Linked DNA regions of Oryzias latipes. The protein of the gene in region 1 interacts with the protein of each later gene in a pairwise test. Links are inferred from orthologs where the notes say so. Each region holds a gene or a part of one and is shown in the gene's direction. Other genes may lie near its edges.

Region 1 (4,126 bases):
TTTTAAAACACCGACAGTTGAACTGAAGCTCCGTTTTCTTAGAAGGGTCTGCAGAGCTGCCGCACGCCGCGCTCGCCGCCACCCCTCCCACCCGTGTGAGTGACAGCCACAGGTTTTAGCAGCAGGTCCACCTATAAGGTCATCATCACATGCCCTCCTTCACCTCCCCTGTGCTCCGGTCCTTACCCCCGTGGCCCCCTGTGTCATTTCACGTGTCGTCACGCGAGGAGCTGGAAAAACAAATGGCGTCGGGGGCCATCGGGGGTCGTCTGACGGTTGTGTCGCTGCAGTCGAAGCCACTTTTCAAAGAATGCATTGAGGTGATTTCAAAGAGTAAAACCTGGTGGACGTGTCCACGTTCACACGCCGAAACCTTTCAGGCTTTGGTGCAGCGTCTGTAAGGCGGGTGCAGCCCACAGCCCGGACGGATTGAAAACACGTGTGCGGCCATACCTGCTCAGTCCAGGCAGATATACGACCCGCACTAACCCGCTAATAGCCTTTATTTGTAAGATAAACAGTAGAAGAGTTTGACGCTCACTCAGTGAAGGTGCCTTTCCTCCGCTGCCTTCAGAAGGCCTGGGGGGGCGCGGGGAGCAGAGTTACCGCCTGTCTCCGCTGAGCTATCTGTTAAAGTCATTTTCTCTCAAAGAGGAATTAATTTCCTTTCTCAGGCTGTGGGCCGGCCAAGTCCTTCCCCAGAGCGGGCAGTTATTGTGAGCGCTCCCCCCGTAAAACGTCTCGGAGCTGCGAGTTCTCTGAAACCGCCATCAATTTTATTTGTTTTCTATCTATTCTTTGAGGCTAATCTGTAAAGTAAATGCCTTTGATTTACGCAGAGCGCTGAGAGGAAGGGCGGAGAGTTTGGTTCACAGGAAGGATTTTTCTGTTTCTGTCATTTCTGATCCAACGGCAGCTCCGGTTGGTTTCTGTTCTGCCCGGACTTTCAGGACAAAACTAACGTCTCACAAAGTTTTATTTTTTTTATTTCTCAAAGAATTGACAACAGTAGTTCTGAGAAGGAACTTTAATTTTCCAAAAGCTAACACGACTTTTAATAAAAACAAACAAAGCCATATTTAGAATTGGTCTGGTTCATTGTTTTCCCTCCTTGTCTTCTTCTTTGGAAGTCAAAAACATTATTAAGTCAAACGTTTTTGACTTAAAAATGCCTAAAACGGCTTTATGAGCAGCAGATCCTTAGCGAAGTCTTTTACTAAAAGATATTTTTATTAAAATATTTGGAAAAATGTCAGCAGCAGAAGATGTAAAAATTATTTGAGAAAAACAGTCCCCCCCCCCCAACTGGGTTTGTTAAAGACATCATAAAGGCAGAACAAACATTCAAACTATTAACATTTACAAATTTGGTTTTATTTATTAAACCATAATAGGCGTTTCATAAGAAAAACAGGGAAAACTCAACAGCATCGAGTCGTTTTTTTGAATACAACCACAAAAAAAGAACCAACTAGAAAACAAAAACCACGGAAATGTTTCGGGACATTTTGGAACCAACAGCATGGCATTACAGGAGCGTTGAGGAGTCTAAAGTCTGAATTCAGTTTTTCTATGAACCACCTCTGTGATTTCTGACTCTGGGTCGTCCGAGACGCAGCACTTCAGTCTGAAATTTAAAAAAACAAAAACCGAAGTGAGTTAAGCGTTTTCTAACGTTCTCCATGGATAAACGCTGATGTGGAGCACAGATTGACGTCGAAAGTAATAAAAGAATAACACCCGTTTCTCCATATGGTTTTCTATAAATTTAATTTAAAAGATTGGAAATTTACAGCTTTGTTTTCATAAAAGTAACTGAAGGGCAGGGGAAGATAGAAGATAAAAATATATCTCAGCATCATCTGCATATGTGGACTTTTTCTTTTTGTTATTTTGAAATGTTAATAAAACAGTGAAACCGGAAGAGGACCTGCATCCGGATTGTTGAGGCGCACCACAGGTCACGGATGCTGACCTGAAACAGGTCCATGCTTAGAAACAGGGATCCATCTGTCAGATAAGTCCTCAGCCGGGTTTAAGGGTGGCGCTTTGCGTACAGACGCCCCACCCCGGCTGGTAGACAGGACTTTGGCGACTTTGCTTTATGAAAAGCAGCTGTGAGGAAACGGCTGGTTCGAGTCCGGAGTCAACAGTCAGAGAGGCCGCTCTAAATCCAGATTCAGTCCTGTCAGATTCACCCCTGAACTTTTTGAATCTGTTTTGTTTCTAACGGAAAACTCCCAGACTGAACTCTCAAGAGATTTCAATAAAAGTGGTACTTCAAGACTTTTAGTTTGTAAAAGCTCAAGATAAATTCATGCACTGGAAAAAATGTTCTTCTAGAAAGAAACTAGAAAACTTTGTTCTTAGTAGGTTGGGTTGTTCTGCCTTAGAGACTACATTAGGCCTGAAATGATCTATAAACACTAAATTTGATGTGTTGTCTTTGTTATGAGAGCAAAATACATTTTAAGCTAACTTTGTCTTGACAAATGTGTGTTTTATGAGTCAAATGAGACTTTCCAGTTTTCTTTAAATCAAGCAAATAGTAAAAACTTAATTTCATTAGATATGTTTTCTGGAGACTCAAGATATTCGGGTTTTATTGTATTTAAATAAATTGTTACAGGAAAGTTACTAGTTAGTTAGTTTTGTCTTGAATTGAGCGTACACTAAACTTAAAGCCGTGTTTTGTGGTTTTGCTGTAGTTCGTGGAGTTTTTGTGCTGCTGTTCTGACCGGGACCGACCCATTTTCCTCCCCGGGTCGGGATGCAGCAGACGTGGATGTCGGGGGTTTGATCCAAAGCAGAAGTTCTGAATGTTTTTGAAACATACTTCATCTCAAAAACTTTTTTTTTTTTTAATCAAAGCCGAACTTTTCTGGTGTTTCAGGTGCAGCAGGTCATGACTTAAATGTTGCAGCTTCCTTTCGGGACGGCGCTGGACGTGTTTGGCACGCCAGGCCCGCTCCGGACTCCATCGTCCCTCAGAACAATGCTCGCAGGAAGCGGCTAATGGAGACAACAAGCATCTCCGCCAGCATCCACACAGTTCTTTTTTAAAGAGGTCAAACCTGACAAACAGAGGGGGGCGGGGCAAATTAACCCTTGACACCTCCCAACCTCTGCATGGTGTCCCACTTTCCCCCCGTGTGACCTCCTGCCAGCTCCGCCCACGAACCATCAGGATCTCAAAGAACGCCGAGAGGCCAGCGGAGGTCAGGTCCAAAGTGAAGCGCCGTCTTTCCGTCCTCGGCCGCTTTAACGCCACACGTTTATTGTGCTTTGCGTTTTGGAGGGTGATGGCGTGTATGTGGTCAGGAGCGCGTTTGCAGTCTAGGACCCAGCCTCCCTCTCACGTTACACCCTATTTATAACATCCCCTCAGCCGGCTCCCCTCGTTCTGCAGTTCCTCCGAACCTCCTCGTGCTTCCAGGCTGGAGCTCCAGCCCCCTGCTCCTCCTGACATCTGAGAGGCTCAGCTGCAGCCCGTCCCGGGATAACTGTTTACCCTGTGAAGCCTGGCAAGCGGCCGCACGCTCCGGATTACCGCAGGACGCCACATTTCAGAGCTTTGACTGCAGGAGAAGTTTGGGGAGAGTACGGGGAAAAGGAGCAGCATCTGGGATTTACGTTTGTTTTTCCTCTGGCTGGTTGAGCTCCTTCACGTCCAACCCCCCTCTGTCTCCTCTGGTGGGGCGCCATGGATCACGCTCTGTTCAGCTGCCTGCGGAGCCCCCACGCCCCGCCGCAGGCCCTCCATTCCGCCTTCACCCAGTCTCCCCTGACTCTGCACGGACGCTCGGACCACATCTCCTACCCCGACCTGGCCTCCTCGTCTTCCTCCTCCTCCACCTCCTCACCTTCGCCGTGCGTCATCTCCAGCTACCCGGCCGACGACGGCCTATTTCACGGGCAGCACCCCCACCACCCCCACCGTGGCCACCTGACCCCCCAGCAGCAGCATCACCCCCCGCCTCAGCACCACACCTCGTGGCACGTCCCGCCGATGCCGTCGCCTGGCGGCGGCGCGCGCCACGGCCTCTGCCACCCGCATTCACACGCACCCCACGACAGCGGGCCCGCGCCCTCTGACCTGGGCCATCCGGGTGCGCCCAGTTTGTGC
Region 2 (3,449 bases), on another chromosome or scaffold:
CAAATGTTTCTGTTCGTGACATTTTTAATTCCTTTTACTTTTGACAACAGCACATGTAAGTCTCTTTCAAAATAAAATACACCCGTTGTTAAATACGCTCCTCCTGCTGCAGCAGATTAACTTGAATTAAAAATGCAAGAAAACCCAGTCAAACATGCCATTTTCTATCATGACGACTCAAGTGTGCCTTCATCATATTTCTCTTTTTACCCGTGAATACAAAAATTACAACATTAGTGTAGAATCCAATAAAGAAATCCATACTTATGAATGCAGAAGATCAGAATCCGTGCTTTAAGCTTATTCTGACTGTATATTCAACCTATAACCATCATTTTTTTCAGTTATCTGACATGTTAAAAGTCAAAATATGAAAAACTAGTCCCTGACTTCTGGGTCAGACCAAATCCTCACCAAACATGAAATAAACCGAAATAAACGTTTGTCTTCCAGACGAGAAGATCGCTAGAGAAACTTTTGGAGTGGGAAAACGGCAGACTTTACCACAAGGTGTGTGTTGGATGTCTCTGTGTGTTTGTGTATGTGTCATTGTGTAGCTCTGACTTCCTCTGCTGGCTTTGTTTACAGTTGTGTTTGCATTGGAAACTTAGCAAAAGGAAGTGTGAAACAAACAACATGATGGAATTTGTGAGTATATTTGGATCTGCTTTACATCAGGGCACACATTTTAAACAAATCCATTTGGGACAAATCCAAGTAGAACCAACATAAAAGACGTTCCAGCACTTTCAGGATGAAGACTTCCTCTTTGTCATCACTTAGATTCTGCTTCTTTTCCTGCCTGCAGGTGATTCTAATAGAGTTCCTACCTAAGATCCCGATCTTCAGACCAGACTAAAAGGGTTTTGCTCATCTGAAGCCCCCACTGCTGCCCTTCTCTGGCACGGAGCCCCCAGTGGCTATAAAGCAACTGCATTACAACCCCCCCCCCCCCCCCGAAATACTCCAGTATTTGTGTTTACATAGCCCCCCCTCTTTTCTCTCCAGGCCTCAATTGCACATGGGTTACATAAATCCTTGTTTACAGATCCAGCTATCCTTTTTTTACTGGAGAGAATTCTACAGTTGAGCCTCGATCGTGTTGGTTCACCGTTGACGAGTGCAAACACCCACCCACAGGAGGAAAGACCGTTTCGGAACAGCGTCCAGCTTTGAAACCGGAGAAGGACGTTCACTGCTGAGAGAAGCGACTGGAAAAATTTTTCATTTGTATGAATGTTTGCTAACTTAAGCACACGGCACAGTCAGACCACAGCGAAGCAAATCGCTTCCGCTCCACCAACAAAAAACACAAATCTGTGTTTTTGAGACGAGTTAAATCAAAACAACGGAGACGACCTGCTAACCCCTAATCCAAACTTTTCTCCCAGGAAACCCTTTTGCCTTCTCCCGTCTCTGCACACGTCATTGTGCCCCCCCACCCCCAGACCAGCGACAATCGCACACTCTGACTGCACTGAGCACAGTCTGAGAGGGTCTCTGTGCTGCACAGTTTACGGGCAGTTTGGGTTTCTAACCCTCGTCTCAGTGCTGCTGATGAACCGGCTGCCTGGGAGCCGCTTTCTGTCACGCAGTGGAACTTTTTCAGTTCATACGAGCAAACCACTGGTGATGGGGACAAACCCCAACCCCCCTTCTGTTTTTGGACTTTTTTTATGGATGCAAGTTGATGCTAGTATGTATGTGTGTGTGTGTGTGTGTGTGTGAGAGTGTGTGTGAGTGTGTGTGAGTCTAAATGGTTAAAAACAAACTTGACAAATCAGACATGGAGTCAGAGTCTGTGCTTTAAAGCAGGGTTACTCCTTTCAAATCTCTCCTGGCCATGACCGATTGTGTCCATCTTTAGGTGATTTTATTTTAATTTTAACTGTGCATTTGTTTATATTCACTATTATATCATAAAATAATCTGGTAAAATGTCAACAGCCGCTCACAAAGCCTCACTCCTTCAGAAGATTGGTCTCATTGGTTTCAAAGTTAAGAGTCTCTATACATCAAATTAAATGTATATTTTATGTTTTTCTCTTTTTGCTGCCACTTTTTCATTAATCTGGCAGATAATCGAAATGCAGATAATCCTCTTAGAAATGTGTGGAATCTAAAAAATAACTTTATTAACACAATTCCTGCACCCATGGTTGAAATTGGTACAAAAATACTAACAAAAGAGGCTCCTGATAAATTCAACAATTTCTACAACTAAATCTGTCTGAACAAATGCACAGATCTTACTTTGAGTTATAATTGGACCTTGTTTGTTCCCTTAGCTCTACATCTATACATAAGAGACTGCGGTTCTTCCACATTTGAACTACAGCCGTGTTTCCCGCTGACGGTACAGGTTAGATCATTTTTCAGTTTGGTGTTCTATAGCAAAAAGTGCCATTTTGGTGCCGAGCTGACGCGGAAATTTTTTAAACTCTACTGTCAGCTGGAAATGTGTCTTCGATCATATCGTTTTGTGGTCACTCAGGGGAAATTAAAAATTAAAAAAATCAAATGTAGCATCGAAAGACTTAAATGTCACGTCCACAATCGCACGAGTAAAAACACAACTCCAGGATGGAATAGAGATGAAGGTTTCTTTCTGTTCAAATGGTGATGGAAGCACACACACACACGCACGCACACACCCACACACACACACCAAGCCACACAGACACATGCATCAGTTGATCTGTCACTTTCTGCTCTGTAAATCACAGCACAAAGGCCATATGCATTTATTGGTGGGAGTGCATGATGGATGCAGACACAAACGGTCCTCATAGGTCTGAATAATTCCTGCACAGAACGCGAGTCCTTTTTATATAACCTTGAGAGTTATTTGTGTGAGTGTGTGCGTGCGTGTGGAAAACATGTAAATGACTCATGAACAGATGTATGTACAGTTATAAACTATCAATAAACATTACCATGGGCATCCTTCTCTGCAGCAATTTATATTTTTTCATTTCGGATGAGAAGACAGAAATGAGACGTCAGCAACAGAAATGATTTAATGTGGTGACATTTTAAAATGACTCCCAGCTAATCTAGCTTTCAGTGTTGATGTCTTCAAGGGAAGAGGCAGATAGTTGCATAAAAATCCTGCATTTGGACAAAAAAAATACTAGGAAATTTAAAAATATTTAGAAATGAATGACAAGTGTGTAAAAAAAGAAAAGTTAAGTAAATCAATTGCTTCTTCCCATTCCCTTTCAAGCAGCATTCTAACTCTATTCCATATTTTATTTAATTGATTTATTGTGTTATAAGTGCAAATATATTTATAATTGGATCAATTGTAATTTCAAGAAGATGGCATCTTTAACCCTTGTGCTATCCTAGGCACTTTACCATTGGGAGTTGGGTCATCTAGACCCACTAGACAGTGCTCTGAACCTTTTTTCTTCAATGATTTGTGATCTTCACTGGTGTCCATGGAT
Region 3 (3,500 bases), on another chromosome or scaffold:
AACGTTGGCGGCAACTCATAGAGAAAGGTAGAGACCATGAAAAAAAGGAGATAATTTTCCATTGAAAGTGTTTGTGAGCAGATATCCTTCTAGGCTCATTTCTAAATCTGTCTGTAGGCCCTCAGTACGGTTCGTTGGAGCGAGCATGGGCGGCCTTGTGCACCGAGGCAGAGAAGGTTAGCGAGCTCCACATGGAGGTGAAAGCTCAACTGATGGGCGAAGACTACGAGAAGCTGAAGAACTGGCAGAAAGACGCCTACCACAAACAGATGATCGGTGGCTTTAAGGAGACTAAAGAAGCTGACGATGGATTCCGCAAAGCACAGAAACCTTGGGCCAAGAAACTAAAAGAGGTACAAATCTCTACTTTTCAAATGTTAATAATAAAAGTTTGCATTTATTTCTATTATTTTCGATTGCATTTATATCTGAATATTAGTCAAGTTAGTCTTGGTGACGATGCATTAATCTCTGTTCCTATGATTCCGTTTTGTTGATTCAACATTACATTCTTTCCTTCCATGGCTTTGCCTTCATAACGGTCACGCATGTTGTATGTAGAGACCACAAATGGTCATAAAAACCTTCATAGCTACACGTGAACATGAGTTTTGAATGCAGAAGTGTTTTATAAACAGACTTTTTCTCCTCTTTAGCAAAAAGTAACAAATAAAAAACGTGGACACTTTTAGGATGAACATTTTACGGAGACGTTCCATTACGTCTTCTCTGCCATGCTAGCTGACGGTAATATGACGTCATATCAGTCAGATATTTGTAGTAAATTCATATTCATTCTATTTATTTTTTCAAATAATAAAATAATAAAAAATAATTTTCAGTAAACTATACTTCTAATTTTTTTTCAATTGATTATTTTTATCGAATTTTTATTTTTTTAGAAAACACTTGATAGTTTGTTTAGAAAATGGCAACCTTCACCGGCACTGAAGAATAATTTTTTACTTCTGATGACAGTAGCGCATTCCGCTTGTTAAAATTATTCATTTTTCTGCCGTTTTAGAGCAATAATTGTCTGAAGTGTATTTTACTAGACTTTCCTATATTTATAAAGATCGCAAATAGGCAGTCTTGAACGTTATAAATATTCAAACGGAAGTTTTCAGGAAATGATTGCACCTATCTGGTTATTCAGATACTCACTACAGCCCTACTCTTGACAAATGATCTCTCTGCTGTCGTCCATCTGCCCTGCATACTTCTGAGTCAGTTATAGAGAAGGAAATGTGAGGATTGGCCACGAGGCAAACTCTTACTCGGTCAAAGTTGTGTCATTTCCTGTAGAGAAACTCCTTAAGCAGCTTCTGTCAGGAGTCTGCCCTCAGTTTCATTTCTGTGCTCGTGTAGAACCACATACCATTTCAAAACCAGCCAGTAATGTTGCAACTTTCAAGCTTTGCCCCTATTTCCTGTCTGTGTGTTGTCACAGGGTGGTATCCTGGCGTGTCATTGAGCAGGGCAGAACAGAATAGTTTTGTGACATTATTGATTTATTGACTGAGCAGACGGATAAAAACAAGCAGTGAAGGACACAGAGGAAATTAGGCTAATTAACTAAGTGACATGGATGACGAGTTGGGAGTGTCGATAAAGTATTTCATAGCCCTCATGGGCGTGGCAAATTTATCCCCCTTTTTCCTTACAATTAGGGGTACACTAGTTTGTTTTTAAGTATGTGAAAGAATTGGACCATAAATTATTAACGTGGTGTCTTCTTCTCTCTGGATTGTGTGTTTTTATTGGGCTTAGCCACTCTGGCTTTGTTCCAAATCTAACCCAAGTGCCTATTACAATTGTGTTTCCTCGACTGCTGTGATGAAATCATAAATCATAAAACTTCTCCCACAAAGGAGCTGTAAAATAAACAAAAGTCCAAATTAATCATTCAGGTCAGAGCGCTTTTTGTTGGTTTTTAGGGACCCTATAACAATAAAAACAGAGATTTGTGGACATAAAGGTTTCAGTCACGATCCAAACCTGATATATAATATTGGTTCATTAAAAAGAGAATGAGAAATAATAGGAATATCGGGGTAGTAAAAATATGTAGTCTAGCTTTTTTAAAGTAATATTTATAATATATATATATATTTTTAAAGAAATCTGTAAAAAACATATCGTCTGATTATTGTTGCTTCTCAAGCTGTTGCTATTTAATCTATTTAGGTTTTACTGCTTTGCAGGTGGAGACGATGAAGAAAACGTATCACGCTGCCTGTAAAGAAGAGAAGTTGGCATCCAGCAGGGAATCCAACAGTAAGCTGGAGAGCAACAACAATCCTGAGACTCTGAAGAAACTCCAGGAAAAGGTGGAGAAGTGTCAGCAGGAGGTGCAGAAGGTGGGGCCTTCCTGTATGTATTTACAAAAAAAATTCTGAAGCGCTTTTGTTATTCACGAGCTGTTCAACGGAATATTAGAGCCACCAAAACGGAAAATAAAGAAATATGAGAAAAAGGTCCAATTTTTACAACAATAACGTTTATAATTTCATGAAAATAAAGTTGTACATTTAGAAAAAAAAGTAAAGCAGATTCAATGAAATTCTTGAGTTGTTCGATCTCCATCTTATTTCTCTGAATTGTCCGCTACATAAATAGAACAGGTTGCCTTTAAAAGCCAAAGGAACATTTTCTTTTCTAAAAAGCTTGACCTTTTTACTTGTAAACATTTTAAAGCATAAATTTACTGTTTTATTATCATAAATTGTTGATTTTTTTTTTTTTCATAGTCGTATGACTTTTTTCTACCAATTGTACAACTTTATTCTTCTGATATTTGGACTTTTTTCTCGTAATCTTATGATTTTATTCACACGTTCATTTCTCTTCCTATTGGTGGTCCTAATACTCCATTGTTTTAGCTGTATTGTACCACGTTTTTGTCATTAGATGTTAGTGTTGGGGTGTTGCATTAGAAATTGTTGTCACTTATGTCATATTTTTCTCTTTTGCTTAAGACTAAAGAACGTTATGAGAAGTCTCTAGAGGAACTGGACAAGTTGACGCCTCAGTATATGGAGAACATGGAGCAGGTGTTTGAGCAGATGCAGCAGTTTGAAGACAAAAGAATTTGCTTTTTCAAAGAGCTGCTTCTTGAGGTGAAGCAGCACCTGGACCTCTCGACCAATCACAGGTCAAACAAGAGTGCATTCTCTTTGGGTTGCATCAATTGGAATCTTTAAAATATATATATATATATCATTTAGAAATGTAAATATTTGTTAACACTATTGTATTCCTTGCTCTGTAGGTTTCAGACCATCTACCACACATTGGCAGATACAATCACTGCTACTGATGTCGAAGAGGACCTGAAATGGTTCCGGTTCAATCACGGCCCTGGTATGCCCATGAACTGGCCTCAGTTTGAGGTGAGCTACTTCAGTCTTTAAATAGAAACACATGTACTTGGAGAAGGGCTTTTTAGAAAGCACTATCAACCCTCCCAGATTCTAAATCCCAGCTGGATCACTTACACA
Region 4 (3,500 bases), on another chromosome or scaffold:
CACAATTAAACTAAATTGAAACAATTTAATCATCTAAAAAGAAATAAAAGATTTTTGTTAAAGTTTTCAAAGACTTCAGCTTTGATTAAGACAAAAGAAAAACTAATAAAACTTCAACATGTTCACTTTTTGTGGAGCTACAGAAAACATCAATATAATGTTAGTTTTTGTGTAAAATGTATCAAACATATTGTGATCATATAATTGTTAAAAAAAATTACAGTTGCCTGTGCACTAAAATTGAAAAAAATATTTAAAAAAAAAATCACAATTTAGAAAGAATATATTTGTTTTTTGTGAGGTTATATAAAATTGCATGTTAATAAACTGAAGGGAAAAACAACTACCAGGGTAAAATTTCAAATAATTTAGTTGAAAATTATTACTGAAAACTAACTTAACTTTGATTACAACTTTTGGAAAAAAACATTGCAGAGGGACTGTCCATCAATACACACTGTGACTTTCTCCTTTTTTGATTTTTGGATGCTGGTAAGTGGCAGGATTTTTTTTAAGGATAAAAGGTATGGAGAGAAATTAGACTCAGTCGGATTTGTGCGTGCGTGATTCTTGATTTGTGCGTAAATTAGGATTTGTGCATAAATTTGGATTTGTGCGTGATTTGTTACTCACATAATACGTGTTGTGTATAAGTTAAAAAAATATAAAATGAAAAAAATACAAAATGCAATTTACGTATGCACAAATAAAGATTACAACAGCTTGAAACTACTTACACACACACATCTTTAAAAAACACGAACGAATCCATTGTTACGCACGGATCTACCGTGAGACTGTTTTCACGTCTCACAAATTCATCCGTAAGTGCTGCGTTTAAATACCAGTGGAATGCTCGGTCATTACAATTTTCCTATCAGCCTTCCCTTCTAAACGTATTTCCTTCAGTGGGTGTAGCAGGGCTTAAAAAAACTGTAAAGGAAAATAAAAATTATTATCTGAGAATATGACGTTCACTTTTAAACGCTAATATATATATTAAAAGTATATTATTCTCCGAGACACCGAATTGGAAGAATGGCGGCCCATCTCGGTGGTCAGAGCCCCGAAGTAAGTAGCCTCTATGTTCAACACTAACATCTACTGTCTTCATGTATTGATTGAGTCATTGTCTGGATACGTTTAGAAGGGATGATAGGAAAATTCTAAAGACCGAGCATTCCACTGGTATTTAAACGCAGCACTTACGGACGAATTTGTGAGACGTGAAAACAGTCTCACGGTAGATCCGTGCGTAACTTTGGCTTCGTGTGTGCATAACAAGGGATTCGTGCGTGTTTTTTAAAGATGTGTGTGTGTAAGTAGTTTCAAGCTGTTGTAATCTTAATTTGTGCATACGTAATTTGCATTTTGTATTTTTTTCCTTTTATAATTTTTTAACTTATACACTAAACGAACTATGTGAGTAACAAATCACGCACAAATCCAAATTTATGCACAAATCCTAATTAACGCACGCACAAAGCAAGAATATGCATACACAAATCCTAATTTACGCACAAATCAAGAATTACGCACGCACAAATCCGACTGAGTCTAATTTCTCTCCATAAAATGTGCCTTTGCTCTGAAAAGGTTGAAAAACACTGCTGTAGAGTACTGTATAACGCATTAGGAGTGTCTCTCTGAGTCTTAAAACCAGGAGTCGTGTTTCCTCCTTCATCAGTAAAGTGTGAGAGGTCATTTTCTTCCAGAGCTGAGTTTTAGGGAAGAACCAGAGGAGTCACAAGACTGAAAAAAAATCAGCGAATGCGTGAAACCGCAAATATTGAAACGTGAATACACTTTGATCTTTTGTAAAATCGTCCCCAGCTGTCTTTTGATTAGAATGATGCTGTTTTTAGCCCAAATAAAAAAACTGTCATTTTCTAAGACATAGTTTCTGCAGAGCAGCAGAAGCTCATCAGAATTTCACCTCTGAGTTGTTGGTATGGAGTAAGTCTGCCCAAATTTCCCATGATCCCTTTGTTTAAACACTCTCCCGCTAGCTTCTCTCTTTCACTGAAAACACCCCCCAAGCCATCAGGTAAAGGAGTCTAATGTAACATCCTGGAGGCTACTACCAAATCTGCCATTGATGCTAGCACACCCCAAGCTTTCTGCGACATTGTTAAAGAAGAATGGATGAAATTAAACTGACTATTTTGCCTGTTGAAATGCACAGTGTCACTGTCAAGCTACTTGATCACGAAGAGGGCTTGAACGACGTGAACACTCGCTTAAATGCTATGGAAACGGGCGTACGCAGAGCTAAGTCATCAATATAAGAAATTGCTCTTAAGAACTGATGACTTGGAAAACAGAGTAAGGCGGTGCAATATCTGCATTTTGGGTGTTCCTTTAGGAAATTGAACAGGAAAACCTAACCAATTTTGTCTCTGGCTTACTACATGAAGTACATGGTGGTCCTGGTGGTTTGGAGAAGCCGCTGGTCCTGGACCAGCGGTCCAGGACCAGCGGCTTCTGTAGGTACTGGAGCTGCAGGCCTAACGGCGACCATGTCCCACTATCGTTTGGATTAATCACCATCAGGAGAAGGAGCGCATACAGCATCATCCCAGACAAAAAGTCCAACTGGCGTTTCAAGGAAAGCAGATTCTAACCTTTCCAGACTAAAGTTCTGACCTAACCAGTGTGTACAATTATACACCATTCATTTTGAAAATGCATTTTTATTTATTCATTATACAATATTAAAAAATGACATTTCAATGCATGGTTTGCTTTCAATTCATTTTAAAGTTACTATTGCATTGTAAAAGGCTTTTTGTGTCAACATTCAAATGAAATTGTAAAACAGCGCCCCCTGGTGTAATGCCTTTGAAACGCAAACTGTCAGACTCCTTAGGGCGGGGCCTACCACCTTTATGAATTGGCTGAGTCCCACCTCCAACTTCCTAATTGTGTGTCGATGAGTGTCATTTCTAACAGAGGATGGAAGAGCTTTCCTCCTCTCAGCTCCAAACACAAAAGTTACTGTAAAATAGAGTTTTTGATGGAGATGTATTTATTTTGTGATCCTTTTCCTGCCAGGCTGTAATGGTGCTGGAGAACAGGGAGGTCCAGAGCGAGCCGGTGAAGGAAAAGATCCAGCCTGCACTGCTGCCTCTCTACCTGAACCTTTCCCTCACAGAGCTCCGTCTGGAAAACTGGCACAAAGCCCTGAAGTACACCACCAAAGCCTTGGAGATGGACTCTTTGAACACAAAGGCTCTCTTCCGCTGTGGACAGGTCAGTCAGAAGAGGCTTCGTCAGCTGCTGAGTTAATGTTCTCCCTTAGTTTTAGAGCAGTGGAGGTTCTTCCAGTGGCAAAGAACTTTATTTTGAAAGGATTTGGAACTGTTCTGGATGTGTCCCGCTTTCATTCAGATAAAATGATCTGTCTTAAGGCTTACCTGGAACTGGGGGACTTTGAGAATGCTCTGAAGTTCCTGAAAGCTGCTCAGGCCAAAAAACCCTATGACACCGACATCAACAAT

The links. The genes of interacting proteins can lie anywhere in the genome.
Region 2: the proteins of meox2 (region 1) and chic2 interact in binary tests that used the Homo sapiens proteins (3 or more experiments, as listed by UniProt). The two-hybrid records come from large-scale screens. The link is inferred for Oryzias latipes from reciprocal best matches to the Homo sapiens genes MEOX2 and CHIC2.
Region 3: the proteins of meox2 (region 1) and pacsin2 interact in binary tests that used the Homo sapiens proteins (3 or more experiments, as listed by UniProt). The two-hybrid records come from large-scale screens. The link is inferred for Oryzias latipes from reciprocal best matches to the Homo sapiens genes MEOX2 and PACSIN2.
Region 4: the proteins of meox2 (region 1) and fkbp6 interact in binary tests that used the Homo sapiens proteins (3 or more experiments, as listed by UniProt). The two-hybrid records come from large-scale screens. The link is inferred for Oryzias latipes from reciprocal best matches to the Homo sapiens genes MEOX2 and FKBP6.

Annotation. Positions count from the first base shown.
Region 1 is NC_019874.2:31,204,053-31,208,178, reverse strand, and holds the start of meox2 (homeobox protein MOX-2), read left to right. Parts: upstream 1-1,326; 5' UTR 1,327-3,703; coding exon 3,704-4,126. UniProt on the Homo sapiens protein: Mesodermal transcription factor that plays a key role in somitogenesis and somitogenesis and limb muscle differentiation. Required during limb development for normal appendicular muscle formation and for the normal regulation of myogenic genes.
Region 2 is NC_019859.2:11,120,592-11,124,040, forward strand, and holds the end of chic2 (cysteine-rich hydrophobic domain-containing protein 2), read left to right. Parts: intron 1-453; coding exon 454-510; intron 511-588; coding exon 589-648; intron 649-808; coding exon 809-859; 3' UTR 860-2,949; downstream 2,950-3,449.
Region 3 is NC_019881.2:17,467,616-17,471,115, reverse strand, and holds part of pacsin2 (protein kinase C and casein kinase substrate in neurons protein 2), read left to right. Parts: coding exon 1-27; intron 28-117; coding exon 118-353; intron 354-2,204; coding exon 2,205-2,360; intron 2,361-2,978; coding exon 2,979-3,154; intron 3,155-3,271; coding exon 3,272-3,392; intron 3,393-3,500.
Region 4 is NC_019882.2:22,093,418-22,096,917, reverse strand, and holds part of fkbp6 (inactive peptidyl-prolyl cis-trans isomerase FKBP6), read left to right. Parts: intron 1-3,054; coding exon 3,055-3,252; intron 3,253-3,410; coding exon 3,411-3,500. UniProt on the Homo sapiens protein: Has an essential role in spermatogenesis. It is required to repress transposable elements and prevent their mobilization, which is essential for the germline integrity.